4 linked regions of the Oryzias latipes genome follow. The protein of the gene in region 3 interacts with the protein of the main gene of each other region in a pairwise test. Links are inferred from orthologs where the notes say so. Each region holds a gene or a part of one and is shown on either strand. Other genes may lie near its edges.

The links. The genes of interacting proteins can lie anywhere in the genome.
Region 1: the proteins of meox2 (region 3) and fkbp6 interact in binary tests that used the Homo sapiens proteins (3 or more experiments, as listed by UniProt). The two-hybrid records come from large-scale screens. The link is inferred for Oryzias latipes from reciprocal best matches to the Homo sapiens genes MEOX2 and FKBP6.
Region 2: the proteins of meox2 (region 3) and chic2 interact in binary tests that used the Homo sapiens proteins (3 or more experiments, as listed by UniProt). The two-hybrid records come from large-scale screens. The link is inferred for Oryzias latipes from reciprocal best matches to the Homo sapiens genes MEOX2 and CHIC2.
Region 4: the proteins of meox2 (region 3) and pacsin2 interact in binary tests that used the Homo sapiens proteins (3 or more experiments, as listed by UniProt). The two-hybrid records come from large-scale screens. The link is inferred for Oryzias latipes from reciprocal best matches to the Homo sapiens genes MEOX2 and PACSIN2.

The regions. Positions count from the first base shown.
Region 1 is NC_019882.2:22,093,418-22,096,917, forward strand, and holds part of fkbp6 (inactive peptidyl-prolyl cis-trans isomerase FKBP6), read right to left. Parts: intron 447-3,500; coding exon 249-446; intron 91-248; coding exon 1-90. UniProt on the Homo sapiens protein: Has an essential role in spermatogenesis. It is required to repress transposable elements and prevent their mobilization, which is essential for the germline integrity.
Region 2 is NC_019859.2:11,120,592-11,124,040, reverse strand, and holds the end of chic2 (cysteine-rich hydrophobic domain-containing protein 2), read right to left. Parts: intron 2,997-3,449; coding exon 2,940-2,996; intron 2,862-2,939; coding exon 2,802-2,861; intron 2,642-2,801; coding exon 2,591-2,641; 3' UTR 501-2,590; downstream 1-500.
Region 3 is NC_019874.2:31,204,053-31,208,178, reverse strand, and holds the start of meox2 (homeobox protein MOX-2), read left to right. Parts: upstream 1-1,326; 5' UTR 1,327-3,703; coding exon 3,704-4,126. UniProt on the Homo sapiens protein: Mesodermal transcription factor that plays a key role in somitogenesis and somitogenesis and limb muscle differentiation. Required during limb development for normal appendicular muscle formation and for the normal regulation of myogenic genes.
Region 4 is NC_019881.2:17,467,616-17,471,115, reverse strand, and holds part of pacsin2 (protein kinase C and casein kinase substrate in neurons protein 2), read left to right. Parts: coding exon 1-27; intron 28-117; coding exon 118-353; intron 354-2,204; coding exon 2,205-2,360; intron 2,361-2,978; coding exon 2,979-3,154; intron 3,155-3,271; coding exon 3,272-3,392; intron 3,393-3,500.

The sequences.
Region 1 (3,500 bases), on a different chromosome or scaffold from region 3:
ATTGTTGATGTCGGTGTCATAGGGTTTTTTGGCCTGAGCAGCTTTCAGGAACTTCAGAGCATTCTCAAAGTCCCCCAGTTCCAGGTAAGCCTTAAGACAGATCATTTTATCTGAATGAAAGCGGGACACATCCAGAACAGTTCCAAATCCTTTCAAAATAAAGTTCTTTGCCACTGGAAGAACCTCCACTGCTCTAAAACTAAGGGAGAACATTAACTCAGCAGCTGACGAAGCCTCTTCTGACTGACCTGTCCACAGCGGAAGAGAGCCTTTGTGTTCAAAGAGTCCATCTCCAAGGCTTTGGTGGTGTACTTCAGGGCTTTGTGCCAGTTTTCCAGACGGAGCTCTGTGAGGGAAAGGTTCAGGTAGAGAGGCAGCAGTGCAGGCTGGATCTTTTCCTTCACCGGCTCGCTCTGGACCTCCCTGTTCTCCAGCACCATTACAGCCTGGCAGGAAAAGGATCACAAAATAAATACATCTCCATCAAAAACTCTATTTTACAGTAACTTTTGTGTTTGGAGCTGAGAGGAGGAAAGCTCTTCCATCCTCTGTTAGAAATGACACTCATCGACACACAATTAGGAAGTTGGAGGTGGGACTCAGCCAATTCATAAAGGTGGTAGGCCCCGCCCTAAGGAGTCTGACAGTTTGCGTTTCAAAGGCATTACACCAGGGGGCGCTGTTTTACAATTTCATTTGAATGTTGACACAAAAAGCCTTTTACAATGCAATAGTAACTTTAAAATGAATTGAAAGCAAACCATGCATTGAAATGTCATTTTTTAATATTGTATAATGAATAAATAAAAATGCATTTTCAAAATGAATGGTGTATAATTGTACACACTGGTTAGGTCAGAACTTTAGTCTGGAAAGGTTAGAATCTGCTTTCCTTGAAACGCCAGTTGGACTTTTTGTCTGGGATGATGCTGTATGCGCTCCTTCTCCTGATGGTGATTAATCCAAACGATAGTGGGACATGGTCGCCGTTAGGCCTGCAGCTCCAGTACCTACAGAAGCCGCTGGTCCTGGACCGCTGGTCCAGGACCAGCGGCTTCTCCAAACCACCAGGACCACCATGTACTTCATGTAGTAAGCCAGAGACAAAATTGGTTAGGTTTTCCTGTTCAATTTCCTAAAGGAACACCCAAAATGCAGATATTGCACCGCCTTACTCTGTTTTCCAAGTCATCAGTTCTTAAGAGCAATTTCTTATATTGATGACTTAGCTCTGCGTACGCCCGTTTCCATAGCATTTAAGCGAGTGTTCACGTCGTTCAAGCCCTCTTCGTGATCAAGTAGCTTGACAGTGACACTGTGCATTTCAACAGGCAAAATAGTCAGTTTAATTTCATCCATTCTTCTTTAACAATGTCGCAGAAAGCTTGGGGTGTGCTAGCATCAATGGCAGATTTGGTAGTAGCCTCCAGGATGTTACATTAGACTCCTTTACCTGATGGCTTGGGGGGTGTTTTCAGTGAAAGAGAGAAGCTAGCGGGAGAGTGTTTAAACAAAGGGATCATGGGAAATTTGGGCAGACTTACTCCATACCAACAACTCAGAGGTGAAATTCTGATGAGCTTCTGCTGCTCTGCAGAAACTATGTCTTAGAAAATGACAGTTTTTTTATTTGGGCTAAAAACAGCATCATTCTAATCAAAAGACAGCTGGGGACGATTTTACAAAAGATCAAAGTGTATTCACGTTTCAATATTTGCGGTTTCACGCATTCGCTGATTTTTTTTCAGTCTTGTGACTCCTCTGGTTCTTCCCTAAAACTCAGCTCTGGAAGAAAATGACCTCTCACACTTTACTGATGAAGGAGGAAACACGACTCCTGGTTTTAAGACTCAGAGAGACACTCCTAATGCGTTATACAGTACTCTACAGCAGTGTTTTTCAACCTTTTCAGAGCAAAGGCACATTTTATGGAGAGAAATTAGACTCAGTCGGATTTGTGCGTGCGTAATTCTTGATTTGTGCGTAAATTAGGATTTGTGTATGCATATTCTTGCTTTGTGCGTGCGTTAATTAGGATTTGTGCATAAATTTGGATTTGTGCGTGATTTGTTACTCACATAGTTCGTTTAGTGTATAAGTTAAAAAATTATAAAAGGAAAAAAATACAAAATGCAAATTACGTATGCACAAATTAAGATTACAACAGCTTGAAACTACTTACACACACACATCTTTAAAAAACACGCACGAATCCCTTGTTATGCACACACGAAGCCAAAGTTACGCACGGATCTACCGTGAGACTGTTTTCACGTCTCACAAATTCGTCCGTAAGTGCTGCGTTTAAATACCAGTGGAATGCTCGGTCTTTAGAATTTTCCTATCATCCCTTCTAAACGTATCCAGACAATGACTCAATCAATACATGAAGACAGTAGATGTTAGTGTTGAACATAGAGGCTACTTACTTCGGGGCTCTGACCACCGAGATGGGCCGCCATTCTTCCAATTCGGTGTCTCGGAGAATAATATACTTTTAATATATATATTAGCGTTTAAAAGTGAACGTCATATTCTCAGATAATAATTTTTATTTTCCTTTACAGTTTTTTTAAGCCCTGCTACACCCACTGAAGGAAATACGTTTAGAAGGGAAGGCTGATAGGAAAATTGTAATGACCGAGCATTCCACTGGTATTTAAACGCAGCACTTACGGATGAATTTGTGAGACGTGAAAACAGTCTCACGGTAGATCCGTGCGTAACAATGGATTCGTTCGTGTTTTTTAAAGATGTGTGTGTGTAAGTAGTTTCAAGCTGTTGTAATCTTTATTTGTGCATACGTAAATTGCATTTTGTATTTTTTTCATTTTATATTTTTTTAACTTATACACAACACGTATTATGTGAGTAACAAATCACGCACAAATCCAAATTTATGCACAAATCCTAATTTACGCACAAATCAAGAATCACGCACGCACAAATCCGACTGAGTCTAATTTCTCTCCATACCTTTTATCCTTAAAAAAAATCCTGCCACTTACCAGCATCCAAAAATCAAAAAAGGAGAAAGTCACAGTGTGTATTGATGGACAGTCCCTCTGCAATGTTTTTTTCCAAAAGTTGTAATCAAAGTTAAGTTAGTTTTCAGTAATAATTTTCAACTAAATTATTTGAAATTTTACCCTGGTAGTTGTTTTTCCCTTCAGTTTATTAACATGCAATTTTATATAACCTCACAAAAAACAAATATATTCTTTCTAAATTGTGATTTTTTTTTTAAATATTTTTTTCAATTTTAGTGCACAGGCAACTGTAATTTTTTTTAACAATTATATGATCACAATATGTTTGATACATTTTACACAAAAACTAACATTATATTGATGTTTTCTGTAGCTCCACAAAAAGTGAACATGTTGAAGTTTTATTAGTTTTTCTTTTGTCTTAATCAAAGCTGAAGTCTTTGAAAACTTTAACAAAAATCTTTTATTTCTTTTTAGATGATTAAATTGTTTCAATTTAGTTTAATTGTG
Region 2 (3,449 bases), on a different chromosome or scaffold from region 3:
ATCCATGGACACCAGTGAAGATCACAAATCATTGAAGAAAAAAGGTTCAGAGCACTGTCTAGTGGGTCTAGATGACCCAACTCCCAATGGTAAAGTGCCTAGGATAGCACAAGGGTTAAAGATGCCATCTTCTTGAAATTACAATTGATCCAATTATAAATATATTTGCACTTATAACACAATAAATCAATTAAATAAAATATGGAATAGAGTTAGAATGCTGCTTGAAAGGGAATGGGAAGAAGCAATTGATTTACTTAACTTTTCTTTTTTTACACACTTGTCATTCATTTCTAAATATTTTTAAATTTCCTAGTATTTTTTTTGTCCAAATGCAGGATTTTTATGCAACTATCTGCCTCTTCCCTTGAAGACATCAACACTGAAAGCTAGATTAGCTGGGAGTCATTTTAAAATGTCACCACATTAAATCATTTCTGTTGCTGACGTCTCATTTCTGTCTTCTCATCCGAAATGAAAAAATATAAATTGCTGCAGAGAAGGATGCCCATGGTAATGTTTATTGATAGTTTATAACTGTACATACATCTGTTCATGAGTCATTTACATGTTTTCCACACGCACGCACACACTCACACAAATAACTCTCAAGGTTATATAAAAAGGACTCGCGTTCTGTGCAGGAATTATTCAGACCTATGAGGACCGTTTGTGTCTGCATCCATCATGCACTCCCACCAATAAATGCATATGGCCTTTGTGCTGTGATTTACAGAGCAGAAAGTGACAGATCAACTGATGCATGTGTCTGTGTGGCTTGGTGTGTGTGTGTGGGTGTGTGCGTGCGTGTGTGTGTGTGCTTCCATCACCATTTGAACAGAAAGAAACCTTCATCTCTATTCCATCCTGGAGTTGTGTTTTTACTCGTGCGATTGTGGACGTGACATTTAAGTCTTTCGATGCTACATTTGATTTTTTTAATTTTTAATTTCCCCTGAGTGACCACAAAACGATATGATCGAAGACACATTTCCAGCTGACAGTAGAGTTTAAAAAATTTCCGCGTCAGCTCGGCACCAAAATGGCACTTTTTGCTATAGAACACCAAACTGAAAAATGATCTAACCTGTACCGTCAGCGGGAAACACGGCTGTAGTTCAAATGTGGAAGAACCGCAGTCTCTTATGTATAGATGTAGAGCTAAGGGAACAAACAAGGTCCAATTATAACTCAAAGTAAGATCTGTGCATTTGTTCAGACAGATTTAGTTGTAGAAATTGTTGAATTTATCAGGAGCCTCTTTTGTTAGTATTTTTGTACCAATTTCAACCATGGGTGCAGGAATTGTGTTAATAAAGTTATTTTTTAGATTCCACACATTTCTAAGAGGATTATCTGCATTTCGATTATCTGCCAGATTAATGAAAAAGTGGCAGCAAAAAGAGAAAAACATAAAATATACATTTAATTTGATGTATAGAGACTCTTAACTTTGAAACCAATGAGACCAATCTTCTGAAGGAGTGAGGCTTTGTGAGCGGCTGTTGACATTTTACCAGATTATTTTATGATATAATAGTGAATATAAACAAATGCACAGTTAAAATTAAAATAAAATCACCTAAAGATGGACACAATCGGTCATGGCCAGGAGAGATTTGAAAGGAGTAACCCTGCTTTAAAGCACAGACTCTGACTCCATGTCTGATTTGTCAAGTTTGTTTTTAACCATTTAGACTCACACACACTCACACACACTCTCACACACACACACACACACACACATACATACTAGCATCAACTTGCATCCATAAAAAAAGTCCAAAAACAGAAGGGGGGTTGGGGTTTGTCCCCATCACCAGTGGTTTGCTCGTATGAACTGAAAAAGTTCCACTGCGTGACAGAAAGCGGCTCCCAGGCAGCCGGTTCATCAGCAGCACTGAGACGAGGGTTAGAAACCCAAACTGCCCGTAAACTGTGCAGCACAGAGACCCTCTCAGACTGTGCTCAGTGCAGTCAGAGTGTGCGATTGTCGCTGGTCTGGGGGTGGGGGGGCACAATGACGTGTGCAGAGACGGGAGAAGGCAAAAGGGTTTCCTGGGAGAAAAGTTTGGATTAGGGGTTAGCAGGTCGTCTCCGTTGTTTTGATTTAACTCGTCTCAAAAACACAGATTTGTGTTTTTTGTTGGTGGAGCGGAAGCGATTTGCTTCGCTGTGGTCTGACTGTGCCGTGTGCTTAAGTTAGCAAACATTCATACAAATGAAAAATTTTTCCAGTCGCTTCTCTCAGCAGTGAACGTCCTTCTCCGGTTTCAAAGCTGGACGCTGTTCCGAAACGGTCTTTCCTCCTGTGGGTGGGTGTTTGCACTCGTCAACGGTGAACCAACACGATCGAGGCTCAACTGTAGAATTCTCTCCAGTAAAAAAAGGATAGCTGGATCTGTAAACAAGGATTTATGTAACCCATGTGCAATTGAGGCCTGGAGAGAAAAGAGGGGGGGCTATGTAAACACAAATACTGGAGTATTTCGGGGGGGGGGGGGGGGTTGTAATGCAGTTGCTTTATAGCCACTGGGGGCTCCGTGCCAGAGAAGGGCAGCAGTGGGGGCTTCAGATGAGCAAAACCCTTTTAGTCTGGTCTGAAGATCGGGATCTTAGGTAGGAACTCTATTAGAATCACCTGCAGGCAGGAAAAGAAGCAGAATCTAAGTGATGACAAAGAGGAAGTCTTCATCCTGAAAGTGCTGGAACGTCTTTTATGTTGGTTCTACTTGGATTTGTCCCAAATGGATTTGTTTAAAATGTGTGCCCTGATGTAAAGCAGATCCAAATATACTCACAAATTCCATCATGTTGTTTGTTTCACACTTCCTTTTGCTAAGTTTCCAATGCAAACACAACTGTAAACAAAGCCAGCAGAGGAAGTCAGAGCTACACAATGACACATACACAAACACACAGAGACATCCAACACACACCTTGTGGTAAAGTCTGCCGTTTTCCCACTCCAAAAGTTTCTCTAGCGATCTTCTCGTCTGGAAGACAAACGTTTATTTCGGTTTATTTCATGTTTGGTGAGGATTTGGTCTGACCCAGAAGTCAGGGACTAGTTTTTCATATTTTGACTTTTAACATGTCAGATAACTGAAAAAAATGATGGTTATAGGTTGAATATACAGTCAGAATAAGCTTAAAGCACGGATTCTGATCTTCTGCATTCATAAGTATGGATTTCTTTATTGGATTCTACACTAATGTTGTAATTTTTGTATTCACGGGTAAAAAGAGAAATATGATGAAGGCACACTTGAGTCGTCATGATAGAAAATGGCATGTTTGACTGGGTTTTCTTGCATTTTTAATTCAAGTTAATCTGCTGCAGCAGGAGGAGCGTATTTAACAACGGGTGTATTTTATTTTGAAAGAGACTTACATGTGCTGTTGTCAAAAGTAAAAGGAATTAAAAATGTCACGAACAGAAACATTTG
Region 3 (4,126 bases):
TTTTAAAACACCGACAGTTGAACTGAAGCTCCGTTTTCTTAGAAGGGTCTGCAGAGCTGCCGCACGCCGCGCTCGCCGCCACCCCTCCCACCCGTGTGAGTGACAGCCACAGGTTTTAGCAGCAGGTCCACCTATAAGGTCATCATCACATGCCCTCCTTCACCTCCCCTGTGCTCCGGTCCTTACCCCCGTGGCCCCCTGTGTCATTTCACGTGTCGTCACGCGAGGAGCTGGAAAAACAAATGGCGTCGGGGGCCATCGGGGGTCGTCTGACGGTTGTGTCGCTGCAGTCGAAGCCACTTTTCAAAGAATGCATTGAGGTGATTTCAAAGAGTAAAACCTGGTGGACGTGTCCACGTTCACACGCCGAAACCTTTCAGGCTTTGGTGCAGCGTCTGTAAGGCGGGTGCAGCCCACAGCCCGGACGGATTGAAAACACGTGTGCGGCCATACCTGCTCAGTCCAGGCAGATATACGACCCGCACTAACCCGCTAATAGCCTTTATTTGTAAGATAAACAGTAGAAGAGTTTGACGCTCACTCAGTGAAGGTGCCTTTCCTCCGCTGCCTTCAGAAGGCCTGGGGGGGCGCGGGGAGCAGAGTTACCGCCTGTCTCCGCTGAGCTATCTGTTAAAGTCATTTTCTCTCAAAGAGGAATTAATTTCCTTTCTCAGGCTGTGGGCCGGCCAAGTCCTTCCCCAGAGCGGGCAGTTATTGTGAGCGCTCCCCCCGTAAAACGTCTCGGAGCTGCGAGTTCTCTGAAACCGCCATCAATTTTATTTGTTTTCTATCTATTCTTTGAGGCTAATCTGTAAAGTAAATGCCTTTGATTTACGCAGAGCGCTGAGAGGAAGGGCGGAGAGTTTGGTTCACAGGAAGGATTTTTCTGTTTCTGTCATTTCTGATCCAACGGCAGCTCCGGTTGGTTTCTGTTCTGCCCGGACTTTCAGGACAAAACTAACGTCTCACAAAGTTTTATTTTTTTTATTTCTCAAAGAATTGACAACAGTAGTTCTGAGAAGGAACTTTAATTTTCCAAAAGCTAACACGACTTTTAATAAAAACAAACAAAGCCATATTTAGAATTGGTCTGGTTCATTGTTTTCCCTCCTTGTCTTCTTCTTTGGAAGTCAAAAACATTATTAAGTCAAACGTTTTTGACTTAAAAATGCCTAAAACGGCTTTATGAGCAGCAGATCCTTAGCGAAGTCTTTTACTAAAAGATATTTTTATTAAAATATTTGGAAAAATGTCAGCAGCAGAAGATGTAAAAATTATTTGAGAAAAACAGTCCCCCCCCCCCAACTGGGTTTGTTAAAGACATCATAAAGGCAGAACAAACATTCAAACTATTAACATTTACAAATTTGGTTTTATTTATTAAACCATAATAGGCGTTTCATAAGAAAAACAGGGAAAACTCAACAGCATCGAGTCGTTTTTTTGAATACAACCACAAAAAAAGAACCAACTAGAAAACAAAAACCACGGAAATGTTTCGGGACATTTTGGAACCAACAGCATGGCATTACAGGAGCGTTGAGGAGTCTAAAGTCTGAATTCAGTTTTTCTATGAACCACCTCTGTGATTTCTGACTCTGGGTCGTCCGAGACGCAGCACTTCAGTCTGAAATTTAAAAAAACAAAAACCGAAGTGAGTTAAGCGTTTTCTAACGTTCTCCATGGATAAACGCTGATGTGGAGCACAGATTGACGTCGAAAGTAATAAAAGAATAACACCCGTTTCTCCATATGGTTTTCTATAAATTTAATTTAAAAGATTGGAAATTTACAGCTTTGTTTTCATAAAAGTAACTGAAGGGCAGGGGAAGATAGAAGATAAAAATATATCTCAGCATCATCTGCATATGTGGACTTTTTCTTTTTGTTATTTTGAAATGTTAATAAAACAGTGAAACCGGAAGAGGACCTGCATCCGGATTGTTGAGGCGCACCACAGGTCACGGATGCTGACCTGAAACAGGTCCATGCTTAGAAACAGGGATCCATCTGTCAGATAAGTCCTCAGCCGGGTTTAAGGGTGGCGCTTTGCGTACAGACGCCCCACCCCGGCTGGTAGACAGGACTTTGGCGACTTTGCTTTATGAAAAGCAGCTGTGAGGAAACGGCTGGTTCGAGTCCGGAGTCAACAGTCAGAGAGGCCGCTCTAAATCCAGATTCAGTCCTGTCAGATTCACCCCTGAACTTTTTGAATCTGTTTTGTTTCTAACGGAAAACTCCCAGACTGAACTCTCAAGAGATTTCAATAAAAGTGGTACTTCAAGACTTTTAGTTTGTAAAAGCTCAAGATAAATTCATGCACTGGAAAAAATGTTCTTCTAGAAAGAAACTAGAAAACTTTGTTCTTAGTAGGTTGGGTTGTTCTGCCTTAGAGACTACATTAGGCCTGAAATGATCTATAAACACTAAATTTGATGTGTTGTCTTTGTTATGAGAGCAAAATACATTTTAAGCTAACTTTGTCTTGACAAATGTGTGTTTTATGAGTCAAATGAGACTTTCCAGTTTTCTTTAAATCAAGCAAATAGTAAAAACTTAATTTCATTAGATATGTTTTCTGGAGACTCAAGATATTCGGGTTTTATTGTATTTAAATAAATTGTTACAGGAAAGTTACTAGTTAGTTAGTTTTGTCTTGAATTGAGCGTACACTAAACTTAAAGCCGTGTTTTGTGGTTTTGCTGTAGTTCGTGGAGTTTTTGTGCTGCTGTTCTGACCGGGACCGACCCATTTTCCTCCCCGGGTCGGGATGCAGCAGACGTGGATGTCGGGGGTTTGATCCAAAGCAGAAGTTCTGAATGTTTTTGAAACATACTTCATCTCAAAAACTTTTTTTTTTTTTAATCAAAGCCGAACTTTTCTGGTGTTTCAGGTGCAGCAGGTCATGACTTAAATGTTGCAGCTTCCTTTCGGGACGGCGCTGGACGTGTTTGGCACGCCAGGCCCGCTCCGGACTCCATCGTCCCTCAGAACAATGCTCGCAGGAAGCGGCTAATGGAGACAACAAGCATCTCCGCCAGCATCCACACAGTTCTTTTTTAAAGAGGTCAAACCTGACAAACAGAGGGGGGCGGGGCAAATTAACCCTTGACACCTCCCAACCTCTGCATGGTGTCCCACTTTCCCCCCGTGTGACCTCCTGCCAGCTCCGCCCACGAACCATCAGGATCTCAAAGAACGCCGAGAGGCCAGCGGAGGTCAGGTCCAAAGTGAAGCGCCGTCTTTCCGTCCTCGGCCGCTTTAACGCCACACGTTTATTGTGCTTTGCGTTTTGGAGGGTGATGGCGTGTATGTGGTCAGGAGCGCGTTTGCAGTCTAGGACCCAGCCTCCCTCTCACGTTACACCCTATTTATAACATCCCCTCAGCCGGCTCCCCTCGTTCTGCAGTTCCTCCGAACCTCCTCGTGCTTCCAGGCTGGAGCTCCAGCCCCCTGCTCCTCCTGACATCTGAGAGGCTCAGCTGCAGCCCGTCCCGGGATAACTGTTTACCCTGTGAAGCCTGGCAAGCGGCCGCACGCTCCGGATTACCGCAGGACGCCACATTTCAGAGCTTTGACTGCAGGAGAAGTTTGGGGAGAGTACGGGGAAAAGGAGCAGCATCTGGGATTTACGTTTGTTTTTCCTCTGGCTGGTTGAGCTCCTTCACGTCCAACCCCCCTCTGTCTCCTCTGGTGGGGCGCCATGGATCACGCTCTGTTCAGCTGCCTGCGGAGCCCCCACGCCCCGCCGCAGGCCCTCCATTCCGCCTTCACCCAGTCTCCCCTGACTCTGCACGGACGCTCGGACCACATCTCCTACCCCGACCTGGCCTCCTCGTCTTCCTCCTCCTCCACCTCCTCACCTTCGCCGTGCGTCATCTCCAGCTACCCGGCCGACGACGGCCTATTTCACGGGCAGCACCCCCACCACCCCCACCGTGGCCACCTGACCCCCCAGCAGCAGCATCACCCCCCGCCTCAGCACCACACCTCGTGGCACGTCCCGCCGATGCCGTCGCCTGGCGGCGGCGCGCGCCACGGCCTCTGCCACCCGCATTCACACGCACCCCACGACAGCGGGCCCGCGCCCTCTGACCTGGGCCATCCGGGTGCGCCCAGTTTGTGC
Region 4 (3,500 bases), on a different chromosome or scaffold from region 3:
AACGTTGGCGGCAACTCATAGAGAAAGGTAGAGACCATGAAAAAAAGGAGATAATTTTCCATTGAAAGTGTTTGTGAGCAGATATCCTTCTAGGCTCATTTCTAAATCTGTCTGTAGGCCCTCAGTACGGTTCGTTGGAGCGAGCATGGGCGGCCTTGTGCACCGAGGCAGAGAAGGTTAGCGAGCTCCACATGGAGGTGAAAGCTCAACTGATGGGCGAAGACTACGAGAAGCTGAAGAACTGGCAGAAAGACGCCTACCACAAACAGATGATCGGTGGCTTTAAGGAGACTAAAGAAGCTGACGATGGATTCCGCAAAGCACAGAAACCTTGGGCCAAGAAACTAAAAGAGGTACAAATCTCTACTTTTCAAATGTTAATAATAAAAGTTTGCATTTATTTCTATTATTTTCGATTGCATTTATATCTGAATATTAGTCAAGTTAGTCTTGGTGACGATGCATTAATCTCTGTTCCTATGATTCCGTTTTGTTGATTCAACATTACATTCTTTCCTTCCATGGCTTTGCCTTCATAACGGTCACGCATGTTGTATGTAGAGACCACAAATGGTCATAAAAACCTTCATAGCTACACGTGAACATGAGTTTTGAATGCAGAAGTGTTTTATAAACAGACTTTTTCTCCTCTTTAGCAAAAAGTAACAAATAAAAAACGTGGACACTTTTAGGATGAACATTTTACGGAGACGTTCCATTACGTCTTCTCTGCCATGCTAGCTGACGGTAATATGACGTCATATCAGTCAGATATTTGTAGTAAATTCATATTCATTCTATTTATTTTTTCAAATAATAAAATAATAAAAAATAATTTTCAGTAAACTATACTTCTAATTTTTTTTCAATTGATTATTTTTATCGAATTTTTATTTTTTTAGAAAACACTTGATAGTTTGTTTAGAAAATGGCAACCTTCACCGGCACTGAAGAATAATTTTTTACTTCTGATGACAGTAGCGCATTCCGCTTGTTAAAATTATTCATTTTTCTGCCGTTTTAGAGCAATAATTGTCTGAAGTGTATTTTACTAGACTTTCCTATATTTATAAAGATCGCAAATAGGCAGTCTTGAACGTTATAAATATTCAAACGGAAGTTTTCAGGAAATGATTGCACCTATCTGGTTATTCAGATACTCACTACAGCCCTACTCTTGACAAATGATCTCTCTGCTGTCGTCCATCTGCCCTGCATACTTCTGAGTCAGTTATAGAGAAGGAAATGTGAGGATTGGCCACGAGGCAAACTCTTACTCGGTCAAAGTTGTGTCATTTCCTGTAGAGAAACTCCTTAAGCAGCTTCTGTCAGGAGTCTGCCCTCAGTTTCATTTCTGTGCTCGTGTAGAACCACATACCATTTCAAAACCAGCCAGTAATGTTGCAACTTTCAAGCTTTGCCCCTATTTCCTGTCTGTGTGTTGTCACAGGGTGGTATCCTGGCGTGTCATTGAGCAGGGCAGAACAGAATAGTTTTGTGACATTATTGATTTATTGACTGAGCAGACGGATAAAAACAAGCAGTGAAGGACACAGAGGAAATTAGGCTAATTAACTAAGTGACATGGATGACGAGTTGGGAGTGTCGATAAAGTATTTCATAGCCCTCATGGGCGTGGCAAATTTATCCCCCTTTTTCCTTACAATTAGGGGTACACTAGTTTGTTTTTAAGTATGTGAAAGAATTGGACCATAAATTATTAACGTGGTGTCTTCTTCTCTCTGGATTGTGTGTTTTTATTGGGCTTAGCCACTCTGGCTTTGTTCCAAATCTAACCCAAGTGCCTATTACAATTGTGTTTCCTCGACTGCTGTGATGAAATCATAAATCATAAAACTTCTCCCACAAAGGAGCTGTAAAATAAACAAAAGTCCAAATTAATCATTCAGGTCAGAGCGCTTTTTGTTGGTTTTTAGGGACCCTATAACAATAAAAACAGAGATTTGTGGACATAAAGGTTTCAGTCACGATCCAAACCTGATATATAATATTGGTTCATTAAAAAGAGAATGAGAAATAATAGGAATATCGGGGTAGTAAAAATATGTAGTCTAGCTTTTTTAAAGTAATATTTATAATATATATATATATTTTTAAAGAAATCTGTAAAAAACATATCGTCTGATTATTGTTGCTTCTCAAGCTGTTGCTATTTAATCTATTTAGGTTTTACTGCTTTGCAGGTGGAGACGATGAAGAAAACGTATCACGCTGCCTGTAAAGAAGAGAAGTTGGCATCCAGCAGGGAATCCAACAGTAAGCTGGAGAGCAACAACAATCCTGAGACTCTGAAGAAACTCCAGGAAAAGGTGGAGAAGTGTCAGCAGGAGGTGCAGAAGGTGGGGCCTTCCTGTATGTATTTACAAAAAAAATTCTGAAGCGCTTTTGTTATTCACGAGCTGTTCAACGGAATATTAGAGCCACCAAAACGGAAAATAAAGAAATATGAGAAAAAGGTCCAATTTTTACAACAATAACGTTTATAATTTCATGAAAATAAAGTTGTACATTTAGAAAAAAAAGTAAAGCAGATTCAATGAAATTCTTGAGTTGTTCGATCTCCATCTTATTTCTCTGAATTGTCCGCTACATAAATAGAACAGGTTGCCTTTAAAAGCCAAAGGAACATTTTCTTTTCTAAAAAGCTTGACCTTTTTACTTGTAAACATTTTAAAGCATAAATTTACTGTTTTATTATCATAAATTGTTGATTTTTTTTTTTTTCATAGTCGTATGACTTTTTTCTACCAATTGTACAACTTTATTCTTCTGATATTTGGACTTTTTTCTCGTAATCTTATGATTTTATTCACACGTTCATTTCTCTTCCTATTGGTGGTCCTAATACTCCATTGTTTTAGCTGTATTGTACCACGTTTTTGTCATTAGATGTTAGTGTTGGGGTGTTGCATTAGAAATTGTTGTCACTTATGTCATATTTTTCTCTTTTGCTTAAGACTAAAGAACGTTATGAGAAGTCTCTAGAGGAACTGGACAAGTTGACGCCTCAGTATATGGAGAACATGGAGCAGGTGTTTGAGCAGATGCAGCAGTTTGAAGACAAAAGAATTTGCTTTTTCAAAGAGCTGCTTCTTGAGGTGAAGCAGCACCTGGACCTCTCGACCAATCACAGGTCAAACAAGAGTGCATTCTCTTTGGGTTGCATCAATTGGAATCTTTAAAATATATATATATATATCATTTAGAAATGTAAATATTTGTTAACACTATTGTATTCCTTGCTCTGTAGGTTTCAGACCATCTACCACACATTGGCAGATACAATCACTGCTACTGATGTCGAAGAGGACCTGAAATGGTTCCGGTTCAATCACGGCCCTGGTATGCCCATGAACTGGCCTCAGTTTGAGGTGAGCTACTTCAGTCTTTAAATAGAAACACATGTACTTGGAGAAGGGCTTTTTAGAAAGCACTATCAACCCTCCCAGATTCTAAATCCCAGCTGGATCACTTACACA